Kluyveromyces lactis: one gene and its partner. The protein of the gene in region 1 interacts with the protein of each later gene in a biochemical or structural test. Links are inferred from orthologs where the notes say so. Each region holds a gene or a part of one and is shown on either strand. Other genes may lie near its edges. The genes, in order: SEC18 and SEC17.

Region 1 (4,337 bases):
AGATAATGACGGACAAGTAACTGCAAGTGGCTTTTATAGTAAGCGAAGGTATATATATATGTGATATTGTATGCAAGTTTGTGCTGTATGCAAATTATGTATTAGGTAGTTATTAGTATTGGATATTAAACGGCTTAAAAAGCACATTAGTAGTATACTGCGTCATGAAATGGACAGTAGTTTTTACCAAGCATGGAGACAGAGTCCTGAGTTGCGGAATTCACCGTAGCTAATTTTTGTACCTTCTTCTTAAACCAACTCTTTATACAGTGATAATGAAACACACATAGGCACTCTAGCCTACCGACTTTTTGTCCTGGAGCCATTTCTTCGAAACATATTGGACACTCTTGAATATTCGTAGCGTTTTTAGGTATTTGGTATACGAGCATTCTGTTCTGGTAAGTTGGACTTCCGATAAGACTATGCTGCTGTTGAGCAAGTTCTGCTTGCCGTATGCATTCGCTTACATGTTCTTGTTGGGCTGCTTCTTCTGATCCGAAAACTTGTAAGTCAAAATTACAAATTGGACATCGATCGTAATCTTCATCAGCAGCATGTATATTCCTGGGACTATTTCTCTCGCTTTCAGTTTCTCGTACATTTTCCACAACGTTTTGGTTCTTCATAAATTCAAAAGGCCTTATGGACGATGATCGGATGGAGTTGATTTCGGAAGTAGATCCCATAGAATTTCCGATTCGTCTTGGTGGTTTCGGTAACTGTATTTCACCCCACGCAGTTCTCAGTAGCTTCATTTGTAATAGATTTTCATAGCAGGAATCACAAGTCCTGTACGGTTCCATTTCATACTCTGCTGGACTTTTCAAAACCACTTTAACCCGGTTTTTATCATACCATGCGAATTTTGAACAACAAGTAGCACAATAAATTCTGCCACAACATCTACAGTGATGACGCCTCACTAGAAAACTAAACTTGATCCCACAACTTAGACACTGCGTCACATTCTCATCCTTTTCCCACTCGCCAAACTCGTTCACAAACTGACTGGAAATATTACCATTCCGCCATCTGTCTCTGTCTCTCCTTGCATTATCCGAAGAACCAGTGACAGTCATCGTTTCACCATCGACGTGCCCTGCCACCAGAGCACCAGTAGTCATGTCAAAAATTCAGCTGATTTTCTATGTAGCAGCCAATAACCTGCTGTGTTCACAGAGTGCTCTACTGTCTTGGACAATTGATTACAGCCACTATTGTGCTTTCATGATCTCATCCTTAAAATGATGTGCTTTCTGTTATAAAACTGATTCTGTTGACAAATTCCTAATGTTAGCAGCATACATTCTGAAAAAAAACCATGAAATCGAGGAAACAATAGGTGAGAAACAATACTTTACCTACAATTAGACAGACAATTGCCTGAAAACAGTACGAGAAGACTAAGTAATATAAGGTATCGTTATCAGATCTTTAAAAGCTAACTATACAGTTGAGTGAATATTATATTCTTTTTCTTCAATTGACAATCCAAGAGTTCACAGAAAGCTATAAGTGTCATTGCGCCCCTTTTGAAATATGGAGAAATTCGGGTTGAGTGGCAAGTTGCCATCTTTTGGAAAGGCCACGCATTCTACAGGGGTACCTGATATGTCTAATGTTAATATGAGTACTAGACAATTGCGTGTCGCTAACTGTCCAAACAACAGTTATGCATTGGCTAATGTGGCAGCTGTCTCACCAAGCGATTTACCAGAGAATATTTACGTTATTATAGACAACTTATTCGTGTTTACCACAAGACACTCTAACGAAACTCAACCTGGTACCATTGGATTTAATGGTAACCAACGTACTTGGGGAGGTTGGTCATTGAATCAAGATGTACAGGTGAAACCGTACGATTTATTCCAACATTCGGGCAAGCATGCGTATCTAGGATCTGTGGATCTGGAAATCAGTTTCAGGTCTAGAGGAAAAGCCGTGGAGACTCCTTTTGATCAAGATGAACTTGCTAAGCAATTTTTAAAGAGTTTTGAATCCCAAATATTCTCACCAACGCAGTACTTGATATTCGAGTTTAAGGGACATATCTTCGATCTAAGAGTAAGATCAACGCAAACTATTGATTTGGGAGATGTAGAAATTGTAGCTCCGGTTTCTACCTCAATTGAAGCTAAGGCAATCTTAATCAAACAAACTCAGATAAACTTTTTCAAAGGAAGAGATGGATTGGTTAATTTGAAATCGTCCAACTCGCTGAGACCAAGATCGGATGCCGTTATTAGACCTGATTTCAAATTTGAAGACTTAGGCGTTGGTGGTTTAGACCGCGAATTTACCAAGATTTTTAGAAGGGCATTCGCTAGCAGAATTTTCCCTCCAGCTGTTATTGAAAAGTTAGGCATCTCCCATGTCAAGGGTCTTCTATTGTTTGGACCCCCAGGTACAGGTAAAACGTTGATTGCCCGTAAAATTGGTACTATGTTAAACGCAAAGGAACCCAAGATCGTGAACGGTCCTGAAATCTTGAGTAAGTACGTTGGATCTTCAGAGGAGAACATCCGGAACCTATTCAAAGACGCGGAAGCTGAATACAAGGCAAAGGGAGAAGAGTCCTCGTTACATATAATCATTTTCGATGAGTTGGATTCTGTTTTCAAACAAAGAGGCTCAAGAGGTGATGGAACTGGCGTCGGTGATAATGTTGTCAACCAATTACTTGCCAAGATGGATGGTGTCGATCAATTGAACAATATCTTAGTTATTGGTATGACCAATCGTAAAGATTTGATTGATAACGCTTTACTACGTCCTGGTAGATTCGAAGTACAAGTTGAAATTCAATTACCGGACGAAGAAGGTAGAGAACAAATCTTCGAAATCCAAACCAAGAAAATGAGAGAAAACAACATGCTCGCACATGATGTTAGCTTGAAAGAACTTGCATCACTCACGAAGAATTTCTCCGGTGCTGAAATTGAGGGTTTGGTGAAGAGTGCTAGTTCTTTTGCAATCAACAAGACTGTAAATATCGGAAAAGGGGCAACCAAACTAAAAACCAAAGACATTGCAAACATGAAGGTGACTAGACAAGATTTCTTGAATGCGTTAGATGAAGTGACTCCTGCGTTTGGTGTTAGTGAAGAAGATTTGAAGACTTGCGTAGAAGGTGGAGTCTTTAGGTTCTCCAACTCCGTAGACGACATTTTGAAAAACGGTGCTAGATACGTCCGTCAAGTGAGAGAGTCAGACAAATCAAGACTAGTATCCTTACTAGTGCATGGTCCTCCAGGTTCAGGAAAAACTGCCTTAGCTGCCGCCATTGCATTGAAGTCTGAGTTCCCATTTGTTAGATTAATTTCCCCTGAAGAAATAGCAGGTATGTCGGAAACGGCCAAGATCGCATACATCGACAATACCTTCAGAGATGCTTACAAATCGCCACTTAACATTCTAGTTATCGATTCGATAGAGACTCTAGTTGACTGGGTTCCAATTGGTCCAAGGTTCTCTAATAATATCCTACAAGTACTCAAGGTCTATTTGAAAAGAAAACCTCCAAATAATCGTCGTTTGCTTATCATCTCTACTACGTCCGCTTACACGGTGCTTAAGCAAATGGATATACTAAGTTGTTTCGACAACGAAATTGCTGTCCCAAACGTATCAAACCTAGATGAACTGAATAACATTATGACAGATTCCGGATTTCTTGACGATGCTGGTAGAGTCGAAGTTATCCGCAAATTATCCCAAGTTACATCTACTCTCAACGTCGGCGTGAAAAAAGTACTCACAAACATTGAAACAGCAAGACACGATGAGGATCCCGTCAATGAACTTGTTGATCTAATGGTGCAATCATCTTGAATTATACTATTCATTTCTAATATGATACATTTATATATATATATATATTATACATATGTGATATGTACTCGCGACATAGCACATAAACTTCAACTTCGTTCTCAATGATATCAACTTTTGATGAAGGTTGAAATTTTTCAGCATGCTTCCGTTGAAGATCAAAGAGAATAAGTGAAAAAAAACTTTTCAGTCTATTTATGTGAAACTTCTTCCTATTGCACCTTGCAAAATAAAGATATATACTTGGATCTAGTCTCTGATTTAGAAAGGGTAGATAACAACCGTTCTCGACCCATCGATTATACTAGCATTTCATCATGGCTCCACCGGCTTTACGTCCTGAGAATGCCATTAGAAGAGCTGACGAATTAGTCTCTGTTGGCGAGCCAATGGCTGCGTTGCAATCTCTATTTGATTTATTATCTTCAAGAAGGTCTCGTTTTGCTGATGCTGCCACTTTGGAACCTATAATCTTCAAGTTCTTGGAACTTGGTGTTGAA
Region 2 (3,103 bases), on another chromosome or scaffold:
CACATCGTTTGAGTAATTTAAGAACAGCCGCTTTCGTTTTAGCATTGTGTCACATCCATTTTGCTGAAAATGGTTATTATTCCGGAATACCGTTATGAATATTAAACCATGTAGTTTACAAAATTAATCCGGTTGTATGAAAGATGTCCTTATTGAATTTCGTCGAATGCTCAGGATAATCAGTAATAGTCCGCAATCTCCAGGATCCAGTAAGAACGGAAACGCATCTGTTGAGGTTTTCATTCTTTTGATTTCTTTTCTTACACTTGCATACTTTTTTTACGGAAAGATGCGAAAGGGTCCTCTTATCTGAACGTTTTAGAGATCATGTTACCCCTCAGTTGATGTGTTTTCATTCATCTAGTGATATTATCAATCAACTGCCTTTTGCGTAGGCTCATCTAGTAGATTTGCTGAGGAAGTATCATCATATTCATTAAAAATTGTACCAGCATTCTGAAATATTAGGTTTGTTTCTTACCGTAAGAAGATGTAAAAAATTGTGATACATTTCTTACTTAATTGTATATTTATTCAAAACGGTAAGGGAGCCGTTCGTCAGAAGCTTAAAAAACATTTTCGTTACCATTAACATCTTCAAAATTTCCAAACGTCCAAGCCAGATGGCAAGCTTATTTGCATCGATATAGTTGATAATGGGAAATGAAAGACGTTAACGTGAAACAAACCACTCGATGTGGTTGTACAAATGGGTATACACCATTTATAAAATAATTATTCCACCAAAAAAGTGACAGTTGTGTTAGAGAAAAGAATACAATTACAAGAGAATGAGTTGAATATTACCATTTTATAGTAGATCGTCATCCGCCTCGACGATTGTATTTTTCACCTTCAAGAGTATAGTTGTTTTCCAATGGTCTAACTTATTGAACCTATCATATTCGTAGATCTTTTGCGATAATTTTTCAGTATCACCTTCCCTTACAGCTTCAATTACGTTTGATAGTAACTCAAACTCCCTTGATTGAGAGAATGATGGATCCAACGATTGTGATTCGTTCAAACTTTTATCTGCAGCTACAACATCACCAGCAGCAAGGTAACATAGGCCAATCTTCAATAAGTACTCTTTGAGCGACCACTGGCTTAATTTATTCCCCAATGAATTTTCAACGACTTTCTTTAAGATCTCGGTAGCTTCCAAATAATCACCGTTCAAAGCTTTCAAATCGGCGCATTTAATGTAGGATTTATTCGAGAGAGCAATAGCTTGGTCTTGCAAATACCAATCACCAGCTGTTTCATAATTGGCAATGGCACTTGGGTAATCCTGTAATTGCTGTTCTTGTAATTCAGCCAATTCGAATTTGAAGTTGGCACCTCTTCTAAACTGACCTCTTCTTGTGAAAATATCTATCGACTTGGCTAAGGACTCAGCAGCTTGTGCTGGAGAAGATCCTGTCTTGAAACACTTGTAGGCTTCGATATACGTATTTCCTGCTTCATCTTCATTAGAAGCCTGTATTTGACACTCTGCTGCCCTCAAGAAAGTATCACCCGCTTGATCCAACTCCTTTCTTAGCCTATAGAGGTTTGCAGCCTCGATATAAAGATCTGCTGCTTCTTCGTAACGGTAAGAGTCTGAACCGCTAAGGAAACTGAAAAATCCTGATGATGGTTTAGCCTTCTTTTCGGCCTATTACAAAAATGACATGAGATATGTTTCCATACCATTAAGTGAAAAAGAGAGAATACGAATGATAAATCACTTCCTCTTTCATCACATTATGGCTAGGGTTTGCATATGTTTATTGTTAGTATTAGGGGTTCAGGCGAGAATAAGGTCAACCATTGTCATCATACTTTCCTAGACTTATTGATTTGACCTTTCAACATAAATGATGGAGAAAAAACGTACCTTAGCTATAATTTCTTTAACATCCGACATATTCAAAGAAAACCTGAGTGGGATATGGCTGAATGCTGTTAACTTTTGTCAACCAAGAGCTTGCTTACAACTTTTACTATCAAACTATCAACATTGTATCATCATTACATGTTACATATTCTAATTACCATCAGAAAGTAAAGAAATTCCTTAAGGGGAGAAACAACGGAAGGCTATCAGCAGCCGGGTAATTAATTCACGTGACTTTCAAATAGGCTGGCCTGGGAGCCGGTCCAAGGTATTTGGCTGGACGCGAGGATGAACACTCGACCATCACGCCTAAATCAGTTATATAGGGTAGATGGAATATAAAATAACACAAAGTGGAAAGATACGTTTTATTGAAGGATACTTATAACATGATTATACGATGCAACAAGCTTAAGCTTCAGCCATGTCTCTCAATCTTCTGATGGTAGATCTGACGGTAGCGGCAGCGGCGGTAGACAAAGTGTAAGCACCACCAGCGATGGTTCTGTTACAAGAAGAACAAGACCAGACACCAGCAGCACCTCTCTTAACACAAGTCTTACCACAGAAAGAACAGTTATAAGTGGCGTGTTGTTGAACTTCCAACTTCTTAACTTGTCTTCTCAAAGAGGAACCGTAACGGACACCGTACTTACCAGTGATACCAACCTTCTTAGTTCTTTTAGCCCTGAATATAAAATGAATTGTGTATTCATTACGTCCGATTCCAATAGTTCGATTCAATTTGTTCACATAATGGGTGGTAATGAATCGATACCACAGGTAGAATGGGTAATAACACAGATATAAAAGTTAGTAAAATTGTTGCAATTAAAGGAACAACAGTTTTTTTGGGGGAGGAGGTCTAATAGATCGTCATTTATTCTGCTGTCGTGCGTGTGGAGCTGACACTATAAATCATCACACTGGAATTTTGCATCTAGCTGTAGTTTCTTGTGCTTATGGTATAATTCCAGTTACCCATTTGTCACTACACTTCTTCTATGTTGATTCCATCTCCTAGTGAACAGGTCAGTCTGCCTGTATCGTATCAGTCTGCTTCTTCTTCGTCTTCTTCAATCCTCATCGTCTAGTCTATCATAGTTCATAGTTCAACTTGTTATATCGATCACTGAGTTCTTCGGCCCCATAACTGTGCGCGGTGTGCATTAGGTATCATACATTTTGGTTTCTTTGTGTTTGCTTGGTTTCTGGAGGGTA

What was found.
Region 2: the proteins of SEC18 (region 1) and SEC17 form a complex in vitro, tested with the Saccharomyces cerevisiae proteins (2 studies listed by BioGRID). The link is inferred for Kluyveromyces lactis from reciprocal best matches to the Saccharomyces cerevisiae genes SEC18 and SEC17.

Annotation. Positions count from the first base shown.
Region 1 is NC_006039.1:1,269,005-1,273,341, reverse strand, and holds SEC18 (AAA family ATPase SEC18), read left to right. Parts: upstream 1-1,542; coding exon 1,543-3,837; downstream 3,838-4,337. Other genes in the region: PIB1 (phosphatidylinositol-3-phosphate-binding ubiquitin-protein ligase), read right to left, coding at 147-1,127; RPG1 (translation initiation factor eIF3 core subunit a), read left to right, coding at 4,155-4,337. UniProt on the Saccharomyces cerevisiae protein: Required for vesicle-mediated transport. Catalyzes the fusion of transport vesicles within the Golgi cisternae. Is also required for transport from the endoplasmic reticulum to the Golgi stack.
Region 2 is NC_006041.1:529,383-532,485, forward strand, and holds SEC17 (alpha-soluble NSF attachment protein SEC17), read right to left. Parts: upstream 1,913-3,103; coding exon 1,883-1,912; intron 1,661-1,882; coding exon 812-1,660; downstream 1-811. Other genes in the region: RPL43B (60S ribosomal protein eL43), read right to left, coding at 2,294-2,570, 3,065-3,066. UniProt on the Saccharomyces cerevisiae protein: SNARE complex protein that binds to cis-SNARE complexes on membranes and is required for vesicular transport between the endoplasmic reticulum and the Golgi apparatus and for homotypic vacuole fusion.